2 linked regions of the Drosophila melanogaster genome follow. The protein of the gene in region 1 purifies or fractionates together with the protein of each later gene. This does not show direct contact. Each region holds a gene or a part of one and is shown in the gene's direction. Other genes may lie near its edges. The genes, in order: COX4 and levy.

The links.
Region 2: the proteins of COX4 (region 1) and levy fractionate together in Drosophila melanogaster (co-fractionation; one study listed by BioGRID). This does not show direct contact.

What each region holds. Positions count from the first base shown.
Region 1 is NT_033779.5:19,954,577-19,965,030, forward strand, and holds COX4 (cytochrome c oxidase subunit 4), read left to right. Parts: upstream 1-4,136; 5' UTR 4,137-4,192; intron 4,193-4,255; exon of another isoform or gene 4,256-4,690; 5' UTR 4,691-4,703; coding exon 4,704-5,115; intron 5,116-5,174; coding exon 5,175-5,311; 3' UTR 5,312-5,489; downstream 5,490-10,454. Other genes in the region: sick (sickie), read left to right, coding at 1-1,823, 1,895-2,150, 2,216-2,695, 2,757-2,876; CG34051 (uncharacterized protein), read right to left, coding at 5,588-5,774, 5,829-6,017, 6,083-6,205, 6,278-6,450; CG42866 (uncharacterized protein), read right to left, coding at 6,863-7,003, 7,063-7,086; CG13965 (uncharacterized protein), read right to left, coding at 7,261-7,638, 7,699-7,722; CG16772 (uncharacterized protein), read left to right, coding at 8,149-8,178, 8,250-9,155; CG10680 (uncharacterized protein), read left to right, coding at 9,655-9,705, 9,763-9,789, 9,850-10,005, 10,068-10,199, 10,264-10,434.
Region 2 is NT_033778.4:23,546,100-23,555,851, forward strand, and holds levy (levy), read left to right. Parts: upstream 1-2,139; 5' UTR 2,140-2,190; coding exon 2,191-2,287; intron 2,288-2,438; coding exon 2,439-2,671; 3' UTR 2,672-2,883; downstream 2,884-9,752. Other genes in the region: wmd (wing morphogenesis defect), read right to left, coding at 1,391-1,511; pita, read right to left, coding at 2,992-3,792, 3,849-4,937, 8,156-8,317; Dcp-1 (death caspase-1), read left to right, coding at 5,624-5,775, 6,202-6,764, 6,825-7,081; Rrp4, read right to left, coding at 9,080-9,529, 9,593-9,752.

The sequences.
Region 1 (10,454 bases):
CAGTCGTTGTCCAACATGACCAACCGACTGCATCAGTTGACGGCGACGGCGGAGCGAAAGGACGGCGAGCTGACGGACATGCGGCAGACCATCGAGCTGCTGAGGAAGCAGTCCATCCAGGCGGGACTGACCACGGCGCACATGCAGAGCATGGGCGTCCAGACCCAGGGTCAAGGTCAGGTTCAGGGTCAGGCGCTGGGTCAGGCGCTGGGTCAGCCGGGTTCGGATCAGAAGCCACCGAACTCGGGTTCCCAACGCGCCATCAATGCCAACAATGGATCCATGCCACTGGGAATGCAGCGCCAGCACAGCACCGACTCCATGTGCTCGCTGAACTCCATCAGCTCGGGCTGCTCGGCGGCCCAGGACAAGAACAAGGCCAACAAGAAGAAGGGCTGGCTGCGGAGCAGCTTCACCAAGGCCTTTTCCCGCAATGCCAAGATCTCCAAGACGAGTCGTCATGTGGGTCACCATCATCATCACAACCACTCGCAGCAAGAGTTGGCCTCTGGGAAACTTCCCCTGCACAATGGTCACGGTGAACCCTTGGGACTGGCCTCGTTGGCCACTCAACCTGCTCCTCCCCTGCCGAATAGCAAGCAGAGCAGTCCCGCCAAGACCGTCACCCTCATAGACAATGCCAAGCCCATCGATGCCATTGACCAGGAGGATCAGCATGTGGTCGAGGACCTCAAGAAGCAGCTGCGCGAAAAGGATCTCGTCCTGACCGATATTCGCCTGGAGGCCTTGAGCTCGGCCTCCCAGTTGGAGAGCCTCAAGGAGATGATGAACAAGATGCGGGCGGAGATGATGTCCCTGAAGCACAACAATGAGCGTCTCCAGAAGCTGGTGACCACGCGATCCTTGGCTGGTTCGGAGGCCAGCTTGGGCCAGGCCATCAGTCCCAATGGATCAGTGGCTGGAAGCTCTGAGGTGTCGAGGCGCTACTCCCTCGCCGACAGCAACAGTCGCCCACCCATGGAACTCCCAGCTCGACTTAGTGAAGAACTTGAACTGGAGGAGGACTGTTTGCCACCTGCCCCGGCCCCCGAACAACCACCACCACCGGCCCCCAATGGCGTCAGTGTGGCACCCCTTAGTCCCAGTACCCACGTAGACCTAACGCCACCGCCTCCTGCCTTGGAGGCGGCTCCTATGGCCAGTCCGGTGCACATGGCCAGTGCCACGGAGGAGTTGGCCGATGTGTGCGATGGCAAGAAGATAGCCATTGCCTGTTATCTGGGTCAGCCAGAGGCGTTTGCCAAGTACTGTGAGGAGCTGCAGGAGCTCGATGGCTTCTATGCCAATGGCCACGAGGCGGATAGCCAATCCCAAAGCGAGAGGAAGTCCAACTATACCAGCGCCAGCTGCAACGAGTTCGTCATAGCCTGCACCTATATATCCGGCAAGACGACGTGGCAGAATCTGGACTACGTGGTGCGCAAGACCTTCAAGGACTACGTGGCGCGCATTGATCCGGGCACCAATCTGGGTCTCAACACGGACTCCATTACCTCGTACCACCTAGGAGAGGCGAAACGGGGTCCCGAGATGGGATTCCCGGAACTCCTGCCCTGTGGTTACATAGTGGGCAGCGTGAGGACCCTATACATTTGCCTCCAGGGTGTGGGAAGTTTGGCTTTCGACAGCCTTATTCCGCGCAGCATTGTCCATCGATACATCAGCCTGCTCACGGAGCACCGACGTCTGATTCTGTGCGGACCCAGCGGCACTGGAAAGTCCTATCTGGCCCGTCGACTAGCCGAGTTCCTGGTAGCCCGCTCTGCCAGGGGCAATCCTTCGGAGGCCATTGCCACATTCAAGTAAGTCTAAAAGAGAACACTATCTATTCCAGATTGATAACTATTTCTCCTCCATTTCCATTTTCCCTTAGTGTTGACCACAAGTCCTCGAAGGATCTGCGACAGTATCTGGGCCACATTGCCGAGCAGGCTGCCATTGCCAATGGAGTCTCCGAGCTTCCCTCTGTGATTATTTTGGACAACCTGCACCACGCCTCCGCCTTGGGCGACGTCTTCTCCTGTCTCCTGAGCGCTGGGCCCGCCAACAAGCTGCCCTGCATCATTGGCACCATGTCACAGGCCACTTGCAACACCACCAACCTGCAGCTGCACCACAATTTCCGATGGGTATGTTTTGATGATGGACCTTACAAATTGGATCATTACATATTTGCTTTATCACTTGCTCACAGGTGCTCACAGCTAATCACATGGAGCCCGTGAAAGGCTTTCTGGGTCGCTTCCTGAGGCGTCGACTCTTCCAGCTGGAACTGCAGACGCAACATCCGCAGCCGGAGCTGGCGGCAGTGCTGGCCTGGTTGCCCTCCGTTTGGCAGCACATCAACCGATTCCTGGAGGTGCACAGCTCCAGTGATGTAACCATTGGGCCGAGGCTATTCCTCGCCTGCCCAATGGACCTGAAGGACTCGCAGGTGTGGTTCACCGACATCTGGAACTACCACCTCTCGCCATACTTGGTGGAGGCGGTGCGCGAGGGAGTTCAGCTCTATGGACGACGAGGAGGTGCCTGGAACGACCCCTCCGCCTTCATTAGGAACTCCTATCCGTGGCCATACGGTCCGGACTCAGTGCCTCCACTACGGCAAATCAATGCCGAGGATGTGGGACTCGAAGGCGTGGCCCTAACCAACGGTGACCAACAGGATCCCTTGGTAAGATACAGGACTAATATTGCTCCTTTGATTTTCAACTAATGAGGCGTTTCGTCAACAGCTCAACATGCTGATGCGCCTGCAGGAGGCGGCCAACTACTCGGAGGCCCAGGATCAGGAGTCCGATTGTGCCAGCCTGGACTCGAATGTTACGCCCGAAAGTTCCGCTGGAGCCGAGTGAACAGCTATAGAAACCAACCACTTCGTACATGCCAAATTTAGATGAACTAACTGAGAGGAGTACGCCAGCTGAGGGTCCAAGATATGCACCCAAGATATCCTTGCCCCCGCACAAATGAGACTTCTTGCACTACTTTCGCAGCGAGGTTCAAAAGCAGTTCCAAGAGTTTTCCATTTGCACCACGTCACCAACCTTTCCAATCATCGTTTCTAGCCACTCCCTGCCATCTAGAGTAAATTGCACTTTTTAGCGCACTTGTTAAAAATGCAAATTGTCCTAGCCACAAACTGAACCTGATAACGAAGCACTACCATCCCAAAAAGCAAGGACCCCGGCTGCGTTTCCGAAAAACCCAAATCTTGAGAAAAGGAAACTTCACTAACATGAAATGTTACAGAGATAAGACGAGTGAATTCATTTTTGTACATATAGATGAAAACTAACCCCAAGTCCCCCCTATGCTTAAGTGTGAATCTGACCGACGGTCTAGACTTTTTATACCCTTTATCCCAGCCCAGAGTCGGCGGATCATATGAATTAAATCGCAACTAATACCTAACTCTACTGTAAATGTAGCTATAAGTTTTTGCTACTACCAATTTACAAGATGTATAGTTGAAGGAAAAAGCTTTCACTTTAGTTTAATTATTTGCGTAATTATCATTAAATATTGTTACAAACATATTGCATATTTATAAAGCCCAATAAAGCAAAATACCATTAACATATTTATTATGCCAAGCGGCGCTTAAACACAGGAATACGCGAAAGTGAATACGTAATGCCCCATCCTCGATAAAATAGCTAAATTTCCGAACTCCAGATCCCTATCGAAAGATAATCTTATGTAATACAAACTCAAGCAGCAAACTATATGATACGATAAAGCAAATTATGTGTCTCTGTCTAATTTAAATGTGTGCATTTATGAGATATGACATCAAATCAAAATAAAATATAATATCGAACAATAATTGTTTTGTTGTTGTTTCTCTTCTCGCGGACAGACTACAAAAAGAATGTGAAATACCAAACCAAATATTTCACCATGCTGCGAAATAAAATAAAACATAATAGTTGCCCTTATTTGCTGTTTCTTTATTTTAATATATTTAGATTTAAATACCCCGCCGAATTCCGATTGCTAGCGATTGAATATATCGATATATTAATATTTATATTTTTTCATTCGAGATGTGGTCACACTTCTCTGCATGAAAATACCAAAATATCGAGCAATAATTACCCATCCATATATATATTTTGTTTTGTATATTCCCTCTGGTCACATTGTTCAGCAAGTCTAAGAAAAGTAGGTAAAAGTGCTTTAAAAATTGTATTAATTGCGAAAAATATCAAGTACCTGCGACCACAAAGCTATTGAATACAACGAGCGGGATAAGCAAGCCGACATAAATTGGAAAACCAGTTGCCACCGGTTTATAAGCCGTTTTCCGGTAGATGCAACCGCCCACCGATTACACAACATCTGTGATGGCTGTGAAAAATGGGAGAATTATGCGGATATTATGCCAAACACAGCACGAAATCGGGATAAATATATGGCGACAGGCGTAGAGGAACCTCAAAACAATGCGATTTTTATGGAAATAGATTCTATAACTTGGCACGTAGTTCTGCTAGCTGTTACATAACCTCCAACTAAGTGGGCACCATATATCGGTGAATTCGTAACCCGTTAGAATTCACGGATGACCGCCTGGTCGGGTGGGAAATTTGGCTATCGCGGGTCCAAGACCCTATGTTCCTCTGCTGATACCTCATAAATTGATATTCATTTTACTACCTTGCAGACTCTGTGAGAAAATGGCCCTGCGACTACTCAACAGTGCTGTGCTCCGCCAGCTGGCCTCTCAGCTGCCCAAGAGTGCCCAGGTGGGCAGCGTGGCCGCCGTCCACACACTGGACAAGATCGGCAAGCGGGAGATCGTTGGCTACGGCTGGAACGGCACCGCCTGCTACGCGGATCGCGTGGACTACCCTCTGCCCGCCGTGCGCTTCCGTGAGCCCACCAACGAGATCAACGCTCTGCGCGCCAAGGAGCAGGGAGACTGGAAGAAGCTCAGCACCCAGGAGATCAAGGCCCTGTACCGCGCCAGCTTCTGCCAGACTATCGCCGAGGTCCAGGCTGGATCCGGGGAGTGGAAGCTCCACCTGGGCGTTTCACTCCTCTTCTGCGCCGCCGCCATCTGGGTGGCCGTACTGATGAACATCTTCGGTAAGCCATTTTTCCGGTTCCCTTTTGCGGCTATCCATTATTGAGCATTTTCCTTTCAGTGTACGATGAGCTGCCCGTTACCTTCGATGAGGAGCACCAGAAGGCGCAGCTGCAGCGCATCATCGACCTGGAAATCAACCCCGTCACCGGATTGACCTCCAAGTGGGACTACGAGAACAAGAAGTGGAAGAACTAAGTGCGCTGTCGTTAAATAATTCCGCGATTGTGTGTGATTAAGTTAGCCGACGTCTATGTGTATTAAGTAAAAGCAAGATAGTCGAAATTAAAGTTATGGCTGCTGCCTAAATCAATCGATCTTGGGTCAGTCATCAGTTTCTGCTAGGAAACCAGCCTCAATGATCCGTTTTAAGAGCAATGATTGTTATTCGATTTATTAACAGACCTTTTAGTGTGTAGATTACAAACTTTTCGTTACTAAAATCGCCACAGGCATAGCCAATTTAATTACCACTTAGTGAGACCTTTTAGCACTCTTATGTCTCATGTTCCGGCTGTTCGATTTTTGAACCTCATGAACAAGGATCTGCAAGGCTTCCAAGGCATTTGTGTTCTTGGCAAATTCCCTTTCAAACATGCGGCCGAATCTTAAGATCAATGGTTTCAGTTCCGGCGTTATCATTGCTTTCTCTTTTTCGGTCCTAAAAAGGCGGATTTCAAAGGCATTGCCAGACATATAGGCGAACACTACTTACACAGCTCCCTTTTTTATCACCTCTTTCAGGATCTGGACAACCGTTTGAATGTCCCCAAATAATCTGTACTTGTCTTTGGTAGAAATTTCACCGTCAAAGAATAACTTCAGTTCGTTGTCAGTTATATTCTTCTTTCGACCCCATTCCTCCAGCTCTGCCGTCTCTTTTTGGTAGGCGCTCCGAGCTCTGCTGAAAAGAAGTCAGGCATTCCTTGATCTCAGAGCATTCATACTTGATGCAGATGATGCACCTACCTCCAGTTCGAAATATCCCTAGCTGTCTGCTTCATCTTTTTTAAATGTCCTGATCTGTGTTTGAAAGTCTTCTCTTCTTTCTCCTTTGCAACTGTCGCCTTTGGTTCGGCATCTCGGTTAAAGCTATTGAAAGCGAAAGGTTGGTGCCATTCGAAAGTGTATATATCCTTCAGCTCGATCGAATCTGTATCTTACTGTTTGTGCCAATCGTATCCATCGTATGGAGGCCTGTGCAGATTGTGTGCTCGGAGATGACGCTGTCTTTCCATCTGGGTGTGGTTCTGGTTACCTCTGCTGTCCACCTGGAGGAAGAGCAACAGCAGGCAATGGAGGATGAGGATCGCAGCGGGATAGAGCCTTGGTCCCATGGCTGTAGTTTGTGGAGTGACAAATTACTTATACGTTAAATCACAATTAAGTGGGCTGAGATGTATTATGGAACCAATCGATTTCCCATTAGTCACTTATCTCAAAATAGAAAAAAAAACAACATATTTTTAAAAGGGGGTTACTCATTCTAAAGAAAGGGTCAATTTATATTTATAAAATCCATTTCTCCTCATTTGAAATGTATATCGCTTGGATAGCAACAATTAATGCGATTCAATTTATTATTTACACATTCGAACAGTGGAAATGTTCAATTAAGCAGTGATCCATTGATATGATGAACAAGGCTTCCGCTTCCCATTGTCTGGCGAGATCCGAGGCATTATGGCCCTGTGAACGACTTTGCAACGGGCCATAAGTAATCGCGTGCAATCCCAACCTTGTCGGACATCAGATGGAGTTACGTTGTTTATGGTGGTGCCTCACACGTGCTGGCCAGTTTTTCCAGCGCTTTTCCTTCTCGATGTTGTGGTATCCATCGTGGCCCACGACATGTCTGGGCACTACTAGCTCCAGGGACAAAAAGAGGCACTGATGTGAAAATATAATATATACGATAAAAATGTTACTATTTCTTTATCTCTACTTACCAAGCAGAAAAAAATCAACCGCATTGGGAAACAATAGACTGGCGACTAATTCAATTCGTCATCTGTGAAGTTCTTGGTAAAACCACATAGGGTGTTCCCGAATTTCGACGGAATATATTAAAATTATTTAGTTTTTTATTCAATAATCTTCAGAGATTGGTCACAAAACGAAAGGGTATAATGGGATATACATATGAGCTAGGGACGTGGCGTGGTAAAGGCATCGTTCCAGCTTGCCCAATGCTTCTCCGTCTTCAGGCTGTGGAAGCCATCATGTGCTCTAACGTGTCGAGGTCCCTTTATATGGCTTCCTGGCTTCACAAATGGATCTCCTCCATTTTCAGGGTCAGGCGAGCCGTTCGGGTCTGGGTTGTCCGTGCTATTAACCATATCGGTGCTATTTGTTGGTGATTCTGTGACCTCCGACCCCGCTTCTGTGGTCTGAGTTAATTCTCCGATGGAACTGGCTTCTGTAACTGGAGACGTTTCGCCATCTGTTGGGGACGCTGGAGATGATTCAGCCGCAGGGGTTTCCTGAGCCTCGAGCGCGGCTACCAAGAATATAGCGATTCCAATCTAGAACAAAGAAACGTTCGATTATGTGCAATAATGAGGGAATGCCCCATTGGCACTCACCAGCTTCAGTTCAAGTTTCGCCATGCCTATCGTCACACCTGACACATAGTATGTGTACCTATACTGCGTCGAAACCAGAAGCGCCGACTGGGCAAAGCCACCTTTTATAGTCGCTGCGCAGGTGGAATCGATTGGAGCAGTTCTAAATTGATTGCGGGAATCGCTGCCTGGTTCTGCGGGCAGAACTAATTCTCTTAGTGACCAACTGATAGATGGCGATCTTTAATTTGCGAACGCAGTCCGGGAAATTCCGGCAGACGCATCCAACACCTGATGCCAATCGGGTTTTTCGAGAGAGATAGAGAGCTGATTGCTCTGGGGCTGTCTGTAATTGTTGGCTTACCGATTTCCATAATGGTGGGCGATTCTGGAGCTATATAAGTCAGCTATGGCCGGCAGAGAACAATCAGTTTTCGCTTGGCCCTTGCTAGTTGAACTCAGTCGGTTGGGATGTTCATCAAGTTGCTTCTAATTAGCCAGGTTGGTGCCAGATCTTGGCCAGGACAAAATGGCTCGAACTATGATTAACTTAACATACATTTTAATTCTAGCTGCTGGCGCTGAGTTACGCTCAGTTGTCGCTCGACGAGGCTAAAAAGCAAATCGATGCCTCGCTTTACAGCGAAGAGGAGACTACCGATGATACGCATCTGCCGGAGCCCCACCTGCCCCCCCAATATCAGCCTCATCATCCCCACAAGAAGGTGACCACCACCACTCCCGAGCCGGAAACCACAACTCCAAAGCCAGAAACCACCACGAAGCCCGCAATAGAGCAGGAGGGTGAGGCCACCGCTGCTCCCGATGACGGACTGGGTCAACTGGATGATGGCTTGCAACAAAACAATGATGGATCTGCGCTTCCAGAGTCCACCACTCCGGAACCGGAAACCACGACCCCTACGACGACCACCACCACAACGCCAAAGCCCCATAAGCATGAGCCCCACTTTCATCCCCATTCTTATCCGCATCCTCACCCCTATCCCTACCCCATTCAGTATCCCTACCCCCATCCAGGAGTGATATTCTCTGCCGCGGGACCTAAGCTTACTCCTCCATCGACCACACCGCCCACTGCCAAAGATGCGGACAAGGAATCGCCGGAGCTGTCTGGATATCCCTCCTATCCGACCTTCAGATCACCGTACTCGCCCTACCAACCCCAGGTGTTCCCTCAGCCTCGTAACTGGCCCAGCTTCCCAGGATACGGACCTCCCAGTCCCGGTTTCGGATACCCCCACAACCACAATCACGATCACGAAGAAGACTCCGGCGAAGATAAGCCCAAGGACAAGTCTGGTGAAAAGGATAAGGACGAGGATGTGGCTCTGAAGCCACCAGGATTTAGCTACCCGCAGGTCTATTTGATTCCCCGAAGACCAGTGATCTCTGTGCCCAGCTTTCCGCGTCCAGGAGGCGGATATGGTTCGCCCTACGGCTACGGACTCTACTAACACTCTCCGATAAATACTGTGAAAAATCTCCGAGTCCAGATAGTCAATAATATCTTAGTTTTATTTCAATCTTGAAATGTACTTCCTAACACAATAAACAACTTTTAGATTATATTTTCATGAGTTTTTAATATTTGCATATAATATTTAATGCTTTCGATCGTGTAAATCTGAGTACAAGGTTCTTCACTGAATGTGGGACTGCTTGGAGTTTTCTTTCGGTGCATTAAGAACTAGTAAGTAAGTTAAAGGCTCCTAGATTCGGGAAAATGATAATTGATGATTTGCGCATATGAGATTGAGTTATGGGCTTCTGATTTCCCTATCGTGTAATCCCCAGGCTGATAACCCCGGGCCCCGACGCTCTCACCTTGGTGATTTCCAGTCGAACGGGTTGGGATCGTGGTTGCATTTAATTGCAGCGCATTCCACCCAGTCAACTCATAGTTCTGTCGATCGTCGGAAGTTCGAGACGTGAGTGTCAGTCGAGATCTGCGAGATGTTGCCGCTCCAATTCGTTTTGCTGGGCTGTCTGTTCATCGCTCAGGGGGTAACTATTCATCGGTTTGTTCCACAATTTAGGCTTCAATGAGTTCTATATTTTCAGATATGCCACACTCTGCCGGATCCCAAGGTAAGTTTGCTAGCAAACAATTTAGATAGTATCTTCTTTGCAATATTCCATAATCCACAGCTAAGGGTGCCTCGTGAAACTATCAACATTCCCACGCATCTCTTCAAGCCAGTGAGTCCGAAATCGAGCAACAAACCTATTTCTAATAGATCATCCTTAAATGGCGGAAACAGCTCTGCCCTGGCCGAAGCAAATAACGATGTCGAGTTTCTAGAGGTGAGTCTCATCCAATACACTTAATATAAATGGAAATAAATATATATTTATTATCCTTGAAGAGATCTAGCGGTGAAGTGGAGGAGGTGACCGACACCTACGAAGAGGAGGACGTTCCACTCCGACCTATCCCCTTCCAACCTCGACCGTTTTATCCTCAGATCCCTCCCCGATCCAACGGTTTCCCCATTCGTGTAAGTGTTTTTATAAGTAGTTACACATAGTATTACAATCCGATTGACGATTGAACTATTTCAGCAACCCAACTATGACAATGCATTCCAAACCGATTACAATGTGGGTCCCAGAGGCAGCGGCTTCGACAACAGACCTTTTCCCAGTTCCCCGGATTTCCGTGGCAGAGGCATTCGACCAATTCCTGACTCCCCATTCCGCAATCAAAACTTAGGAACCTTTGTATCTCGACCGGTAATCTTGTGCAATCGTTT
Region 2 (9,752 bases), on another chromosome or scaffold:
CCGCCAAGGCCAACGACCTGGCCGCCTGCCGCTCGCAATCATGCAAGCGAGCTCCCAAGTTCACGTCACTATCACCGCACCGCACCGCACTGCACTGTCGCGCTCAACGGGATCGGGATGCAGGGTGCTGCATTGCAGTGCAGTGCAGTGCAGGGACGCGGCTTGTTAGTTCGTTCAGAGCTACATCATCAATGCATTCTATGTGTGTGATAAATGATCACCCACAACTCTCGCCATTTCAAGGACTTCTACTAATGTTTGCCTGCTACTTCACTTTTGTATAGGAACTCTATTAGTTTAACTTTGCAGAGAAAGGTTTTCTAACAAGAGCACTTAATAATGTAATATATACTATGTAATTTCCCATTCTAATTTATACAATTACTGTGGCCTTAAACTTGGAATGATTCATCGCAGTGAGAACCGCACGAATTAAGCCCACATTAGATGCTGTATCCGAATAAATTGCAGCGGATCGGGATCGGGAGAGTGTATCCAGCAAGCAGAATCTTCCAGGCGGCAGACAAACGGCAGCTGCATATACACACAGCATATAAATATAGAAGTTCCAAGGTGCTTCCTGAACGAGCAGTTTCGAAAAGTTGCTAAACAAGGGGAAGCGAGTACGTTAAAAGGCGATAACGAAGTCAACTTGAACTTGCAGTGGGAACGAGCGCTCTTTCCGCATAAAAGCAACATTTGCGAAAGCCACGAATGCAAAGTGCCTGTAAAAAACAGGCAATAGCTAACGAATTGCGAATTGCAACTGCCATGGCAATTGCAATCGCATCGACTGGCTGACACCTCAAGGCAAAGAATGCGAGTTTTGTAGCATGCGAGTGGCGGCAGGCAAAAGGGTTTCGCACTCGCAGAAAACAGGTTTCGCTCGCGATGAGTGACTTTGCATTTGGGTCAAGGTTTCCCACAGGCTAGACATGATGCTACACCGTGCTGGCCCGCCTGTAGTTCATGTGATTCCATGCCGCTCTGTTGCAGCACCTTTCCCACGAACATAACGATCCGTCAAAGAACACGGACAACATAACTTGTTTTTCGACATGGCCTTCTGGGTAAAACATTATTTGCCCTTCCTACAAAACTATACTACAAATTTGACCAATAAGCAAAAGTAACTGCCTGTTTTTACCAGGAAACTTGCTGTATAGACATTAAACTATTGCAAATGAACACTGTCTATATAGAAACACTAGTTAAATCCAATTCTTACGGAATCTGCGTTGTGTCCCAGTTCGTCAGTGACTGACACTTCCGATTTTAACCCCATCGTATGATTATGACAACCACTGTGCGACGACGGAAAGTGGTGTATAAATAGCGCGCAAGGACGGCTAATCGCATGCGACTGGCTGCCCGATCCCGCGGACCTTACCTTTGCAGGCCGAGATGAGAAAGTAGCCGGCGTCGCAGATGTCGCTGAAGTCCAGGTGGACCACGGGTCGCGTGTGGCCACTGCAGGTCAGCGGGATTTGTCGCAAGTTGTTGGCGGCCATGGCAGTGGGCTGCTAGTGGATTGGTGGACTGTGTGGTCCTTAATACTTGTGGTTTTCTCCGAGTGTAGCGACCGTTATGTCCGCTGGCGAACTGTGCACTTAGTGAATAACTGACGTTTTGTGGCTACTTTGTACTTGGATTGGTTGTTGCTCCTGGTTAACTGCGCTTCACTGCCCGTACGATAATGATTTTCCCGTTCGTTGCTTAGGTTCGAGATGCTGCGGTGGCTTTGCAGGGTGTGCAGTGTATTTACAATCTGATGCACTGAATTTTATAAACAAGAGGGGAAAATAATTACGCGACACGTTGTTGTTGTGGATGGACGATTGGTAGCCGACTCCAGCCTCGATAGTCCGCACACACAGTACCTACCTATCGTCAGCGGTGGGCGCGTGAGGCGATAACTTCTCGATTAGCTAGAGCTGTGTCACGGCAGCCAGGGGAGGATACAAAGGAAAAATGTCAAATTACTTATTTACAATTTGGCATAGAATTGTTTTATTTTGTTTTTTATTTATATTAAGCCAATTAACAGCTTTGTTGTACGTAATTTAGAAATCACGGCCAACCACTATCGATATAATTTAGCGAACGAGTCACGACATTATGGATGTAGCCCATCCCTATTTACTTGTCAAAACAGCAAATTTTCATTCGGGCCAAGAATCGACTGAAAATATGTCCGCTATTCTAAACCACGCAATTCGCCGCCAATTCGGCGCTTCTGCCGCCCGGAATATGTCCGGCACCGCCGCCGTGGCCGGCGAGCACTCTGGTAAGTGACCGTCCAGCGTCCCAATTGCCAAATTCATCCCCTTTTGTAAGGTTAAGGTTATGTAATTTACCATTGGGCAAGATCGATTGGTGGAGAAGGATTCGCTCTTATAACACATCCTTTCATGCTCATCTCATCTCTCATCCTTCAGGTGGCTACAAGGTGTGGAAGCGCCTGTCCTTCTTCGTGGCCGTGCCCGCCGTGGGACTGTGCATGCTGAACGCCTACCTGAAGCACCAGGAGGAGCACGACAAGCCCCGCCAGGAGTTCGTCAAGTACGACTACCTGCGCCGCCGCGAGAAGCGCTTCCCCTGGGGTGAGGGCCAGAAGAGCCTGTTCCACAACCCCCACGTTAACGCCCTGCCCGACGGCTACGAGCACTAGGTGGCCACCGTCTCCGGTTCCCTCTGCGGGATGTATTCGTTGTTTGGTAGTGATAGACGTTAATGTAAACTGAACTTTACGCGGAAATACACAGAAAACACATATACCCAAACTCCAGTTGGCGCTTCAATAAAGATCAAATTAGAGCGAGGAGAGATCCCATAAAGACCATTTCAATGAGCGACAGCGGAATTCTGGTGAGGAGTTTATTTAAAAGGCCTTCGGTTAAAGGAAAAATTAAAAGTTACAATTAAATAGAATTTAAATTTAAGCATAAGCACGGATGCACTTTTCGCATGCAATATATTCAACTACTATCATTATTTTGCGGATCGGCGATTCTTAAGGTTGCGTTCCAGTTTGTGATGAGGCTTGCCTTCGTTCTTTCCTGTCTTCTGAGTGATTCTTTGAGCATCCCGACTGCGAGTTTGGCGCACGGATTGCTGGGCATCCTTGGGAGGATTGGTTTTACGCTGCTTTGGAGGCGGCGGCGTGAAGGATTCGTCGCTATCGTCTAGGTGGTCCTCATAGAGAGCATCGTCTTCTAAGTATTCCGTCACGAATTCTTCCTGCTTCACATTGTCCATGTCTTCAAAATCGTCAAGATGTTCCTCCTTCTCATCGACGCCGCCTTCTCCTTCGCCGTCGTCTTCGAACTCGTTCTGGTACGGCTCCATTTCCACCACATGATCGTCCTCGATGTGGCGCTGCAGGCATTTCTGCGTCAAGAAGATGTGGTCACAGAACTCGCAGGCATGGCGCTCGCTCTGCTTGTGCTGGTCCATGTGGCTCTCGACACTGTCGATATCTTCGATCTGCTTGCGACACATGGGACATTTCAGGCTGGCGGTGGCATGAATGAGCGCATGATCCAGTAGGTCGTTATAGTTGCTGTACGACACCTTGCACTCACTGCACACGAACGAGGCGTCGGAAGTCTGCGTGTGCGTGCGCAGGTGGCGCGAGAGATGATGCGACAGCATGTAGGACTTGTGGCAGTACTTGCAGGGATAGGCTCTCTTCCCGGCGTGGGCAACCAGGTGGCGGGCCAGCTTGGAAGCGGTGGAAAAGCTTCTCTCGCAATGCTGACAGGGGAAGGGAAGATTGGTGGAGTGGACTGTCTGAAAGTGGACATAATCGTTAGCCGGGGCAATCCCAAATATGCTTGTCAACCCACCTCATGACGCTCCAATCCCTGCTTGAAGGCAAACGACTTGGTGCAGACACCGCATTGGAACGGACGCTTCTTCTGATGTCGCTCGGCGTGCTTCTCCATCTCCTGGCGCGAAAGGAAGGGCTTCTCGCAGTACACGCAGATGAACTTGGGTACGTCCGTGTGGGTGCGCTCGTGGCGATGGAGCAATGCCTTCCGTGTGAAGGCTTTCGAGCAGATGGCGCACTTGAATGGCCGCTCGCCGGTGTGCACAAAGTTGTGCTTGGCCAGGTCGTACTTGGAGAAGAAGCTCTTCTCGCACAGGAGACACTGGAAGCTGCGCGAGCGAGTGTGATTCAGCCGATGGATCTCGAGCAGCTGCTGCAGCGGAAAGGAGCGTTCGCAATCGGGACAGGGGAACACATCGGTGGCCACCTTCTCGGCGTTCTTGGTCGGATCATCTTGATCGTCCAATGGCAGATCCGAGTCCAGAACCTCTGTCACTATGGCCACATTGCCACTATCATCTCGCTTGACTTTGGGTGTGGCCAGGCGCGGTTCCACCGGAGCGGCGGGTCCCTTGTTCAAGATCCTAATCGAGGACTTGTTCAGCACCTTCGGCTTGACGGGTGATGCCTTCTGGGGGATATCGGGGAACTCCTTCTCTAGCTCACTGGCCATATCCTCCAGCATGCTCTGCACATCGTCCATGGACAGCTCCTGGTTGTTATCCACCTTCAGCTCATAGGCGTGCGAACGACGTGGCACTGGAGAGGAACCGGCTACCGTCCTGGGGGTCACCATGGCGCTCTCCAGCACCTGGACGTCCTCGATGATCACCTGACTACTGGATTTGGCCATTGTGTTCAGCAGCTTTTTGGGCGTTTCGCTTGGCTCGGCTGTCTTTGCTGGCACGACCAACAACTTCTTGGAAGCCACCATCGTCATGGGCGCACGGGGCTTCTCCAGCGGCGATGGCCAGTTACCCGTGAGCGGATACTGGCGCAGGAGGGTCTCCGCCCGCTTGCACATCTGCTTGAAGCGGTAGCAGTGCTCGAAGAGGAGGCGGCACTCCAGACAGATGTGCCCCGGCATTCCGTCGCCGGCGTAGACCTGTTTTTAATGTTAGATTAGATAAATGTGTGAGTGACTAGGAAGCTACATTTATTCGGGGAAGTCCGTGCTTAAGCCAAATAATAAGGTAATATTCGTGGAACACCCCTATATGTTTTTCGCTACATAATAAATTAAACGCCATAAATGTCTCTTTCCCTTAAAATGAACAATATAATGTTAGAGTTTAAATTTAAACAAAGGCGCCGAGGACCAGAACACCCTCTACAAATTAATCGATGGCCACCAATCGATGATTAGTGCTATCGACGAGCGGCCATCGCCGCTTGGCGGCAAGTGCATACACACGACTACATGCAATCGCAGTTTGTTTTCGCCGCTCAGAGCACGCTTAACCTCCGTTAATTGATTGATTAAACACGTCCGACTGTGAGCCATAAAAGGACATTCGCTCGATCGAAAGCCGACAAAAGCTGGCTGAGAAGCGCAAAACAGCTGCGCTGCGCAAAGTTTGGCCAACGCAGAGCAATAGAAAACAGAAGCAGTGTCAGAATAAAACAAGAATCAGACCAAAAAGGGCGCAACAACTGCGGAGAGAGAAAAGGAAGGAAAGAGCAGCGCGTGAGCGAGGGAGGAGCAGGAGGGAGCGAACAAAAGGCAAGAGGAAACACAAGGAGAAACGCAAACAATCAAAACAAGAACTTAAGCAAGAAAAGGGGCGCAAGATGACCGACGAGTGCGTAACCAGAAACTACGGAGTAGGCATTCGCAGCCCAAATGGATCGGAAAATCGGGGCAGCTTTATAATGGCTGATAATACCGATGCCAAGGGCTGTACGCCGGAGTCTCTTGTTGTTGGTGGTGCAACTGCAGCGAGGTGAGTCCATGTGCCTCGCTCTCTCCCTCTCCCATCTCTCTCTTTATGTTTCTGTGTTTTGTTATCAATGCAAGTACTGGCATAACTGCTATATCCTAGTTTCAAATGCAGCATATAAAGCTCTTTTTTTTTTATTTATTCCATTTTCATTCCACAATCTATTATTTTTATATTATTTATACTGTCTATTGCCAACATTTAAAATCAATGTGTCAATCTGTCTTTATAATGTTGTTAAAATGGCTGAAGTCACAAAGTTTGAAAGCACTTGACTTTAATTCTATTGTTCTATTTAGTCTTATTCACAAATATATTTGAAAATAATTACATAAATAAATACCCAATCATCGATTATTTCGCCGATTACCTTATCTTATCATGCTGCTTCCCAAATGGCTATTATAATTCTGATTTCTTTTTCCCCAGCCCCTTGCCGGCCAACAAGTTTGTGGCTCGAATGCCCGTGGAACGATATGCAAGCGAATACAACATGAGTCACAAGCACCGCGGAGTTGCGCTGATCTTCAACCACGAATTCTTCGACATACCCTCGCTGAAGAGCCGCACCGGAACAAATGTCGATGCCCAAGAGCTGAAAAAGGCCTTTGAAAACCTGGGATTCGCGGTGTCCGTGCACAAGGACTGCAAGTTGAGGGACATCCTGAAGCACGTGGGGAAGGCCGCCGAGTTGGACCACACGGACAACGACTGCCTTGCGGTGGCCATACTCTCGCACGGGGAGCACGGCTACCTGTACGCCAAGGATACGCAGTACAAGCTGGACAACATCTGGCACTACTTCACTGCCACCTTCTGCCCCTCGCTGGCGGGCAAGCCGAAGCTGTTCTTCATCCAAGCCTGCCAGGGCGATCGCTTGGACGGAGGCATCACTCTGGAGAAGGGCGTTACCGAGACGGACGGGGAGTCCTCGACGAGCTACAAGATACCCATACACGCCGACTTTCTCTTCTCCTACTCGACCATTCCGGGTAAGGAATATGATTAGGTAACTATTTTAGTGAATTTCACTAGCAATCTCGTCCTGTTAGGCTACTTCTCCTGGCGCAACATCAACAATGGCTCCTGGTACATGCAATCGCTGATCCGCGAGCTGAACGCCAATGGCAAAAAGTACGACCTGCTCACCCTGCTTACATTCGTTAACCAGCGCGTAGCCCTAGACTTTGAGTCGAACGTGCCCGCCACACCGATGATGGATCGCCAGAAGCAAATACCGTGCCTCACCTCCATGCTGACGCGCATACTGCGCTTCGGCGACAAGCCGAACGGCAATAAGGCTGGCTAGGAAGAGATCTCCCTTCGAAGAAGAACTTTCAACAGAGGTTGTACAACCATCGCCCGCAATCATTCACGTTGGATTCCAATTCACTTCAAGTTTAGTTTTAGCTGACGCGTGCGATTATCCCGATGGATATTGAAGCACCCGACTCCCTTTCATTCATTCCCCTGCCTTTCCCATGCCCATTTCGGCCTTATCATTGACGAAATTCGTTACCCATTTACCCACTAGATGACTTCCGTATGCATAAGCGAGACCTTGCCAATAGAAAACCCACAAATTTGAGATAAGATAATACAATGAAGATTTATACATACATACATACTTTTATGTACACGCAAACATTTATATTTGATATGAATAAAAATGAATTAAAAACATAGCAAGGTATCTCCCCAATTGAACGTAGATGGGTAATTTCGATCTAAGCAACTTTGTTTGAAGACAGGAGCTGTCTGGGCCAGATTGAGTACGTTGATATGGGAAATAAAAGATAACAATGAAGACTTGGTTGGCTGAATCAGTGAAATTGTACGAAACTTTAGTGGAATTCAAATTAGCATTATTAAGAGTGATTAATTAAGATTTTTCTCACTCTAATTTTATTAATTTCCTAAATTTTATATTTATTTCCTAATTTTATAATTTAGGAAATTAATAAAATTAACCAAATGATGATTTTTGCGTAAATATAAGTATCGAAGGAACTATTAATGCATTTAAATATGATCTCGATTTGAATTTAGCGCCAAAAACAACTGACAGCTGTCAGGGCGATCAGCTGTTGACGCACTAGTGTGCGTGTGGCGCAGTACAGTTGCCCCAAATCGCAGAAATTTTCATTTTTCTTTGCACAAGAGGAAAAAGGGAAAGCCCAATGATTAGCCAACTAATTGGGCTGTAACCTGGTCGCACTTTTCAAGGACATTCGGCTGGGAAAGGGAAGCGGGGCAGTTTGGAGCGGGGAAACTTAGCCAAGACGCCTCGCAGTCGATGCGGAAACCCGCGATGCGGCTTCTTAGCCAAGTTATGCGTGGCGCTGGTTAGTGCAAGCCAGAACCCATGGATGGAGCCGCTTACCTCGATCGCCGTGATGGCCATAATCTGCAGCGGCAGATTGGCGGTTGTTTTCACCCGCGGATTCTCCTCGAAAATCGAGGCCAGCTTCTGCTCGGTCAGACAGAAGCGGCAGACCCTCTTCTCGGTCAGCATGGCCTCGCGCACCTCCAGTTTCGCGGCCATCGGCAATTGGCGGTAATTCGTTCCGGGCGGCGGTAGAAACGCGGAATTTCACTTGCAAAGTGCGTACAGATTACAAATGAGAGGAAAACAATCGCTTGGCGTCGCTTAGAGATGTGCACTATGCAGATATCGATGTTTCTGTGTGAATTTTGCTAGCGAAACTTTTTGTTTTTATTTTACACAATCAAGTATTTGTCACAAATACAACGTCACACTAATATGGGATGACATAAAAATAAAAAATTTATGCCGAGTCCCTTTATCATCCAGGCAGAATCACTTTTCATTTGCACAAACCGCCAGGGCGTTGCCGGATCGCTAATGTGTGCTGCCACTCGGTGCGCGTCCTGGTAAAATATCGATATTTTAGCTGCTTTTTAACTAAAAGTAATTTTAAGTCGAAACTTTTAACTAAAACTAAAGTGCTATGAAAATGTATGTATTTTTTAAACGCCAATAAAACCTAACTTATATGCAATAAATGTTTTCTTTTTTAAAGAGTTTGTGTATTTTAGAAAACCTGACTTTTTATTAGGAAACCAACATTTATCATACAAATTCAGGAAATATCAAATGAACATTTTTATTAAACAGAAAGCTTGCGATAGTTTTCAGTGTATTTAAGATTTTAGCCCACTGATGCAATTTTGAAATCCACCAATTTCGAACCCATTGAAATGTTAATTTTTCATTTGACGGTAGAAAATACATTAACCTCTATTTAAGCTACTTGTGTATAAAATATATGTATATGCATATATACTACTCGTCCGCGTCCCTCAGACGAGCCTGCGTCTGCTGGCCGATGTCGTAGATGGCGTTCTGCTGGAGCAGCTCGTGGGCCTCGTAGCGCAGGGACTCCTCGTAGGCGTACTGGATGCTGGTGTCGTAAATCATCAGCTTGCACTTGGCCAGCGCGAGGATGGAGTTCCTCAGCCGGGCGATCACCTCCCGATCCGCGCGCGGCACATGCTCGTTCAGGTTCTGAGCGAATCCTCCCTCGCCGCCTTCCTCCTCCTGGCCCTTGGTCGGCGATATCCAGATGTAGCCATTGTTGCCCAGGATCACGGAGGCGCCGCAGGGCAGGTTGTGGAAGTGCATCTTGCGGCGCTTGACGAGAGCGGGGAACACCTTGACCAGGATGCCCTGCGATAGTTTTCCATACTTCAAACTGCGCGTGTACAGCGAAAGGGAGCCCTCCTCAAAGATGTTCTGGTGGCCAGAGAAGAAAGATTATATAGTTACTCCAGTACCAGCAAGTTAGGAAGTACCCACCTGGACCTCGGCAGAGATGAGATCGCCCTCGTCCAAGTATCGTCGCATCATCTGCTCGTCCTCCGCCGATCTCCGTCGTAGTTCTCCGCCTGGCAGATTCACCGAGGAGAGCAGTAGGATGGAGTCGAGCCGGGAATTGGTGTCCACTCGCCAGCGCTTC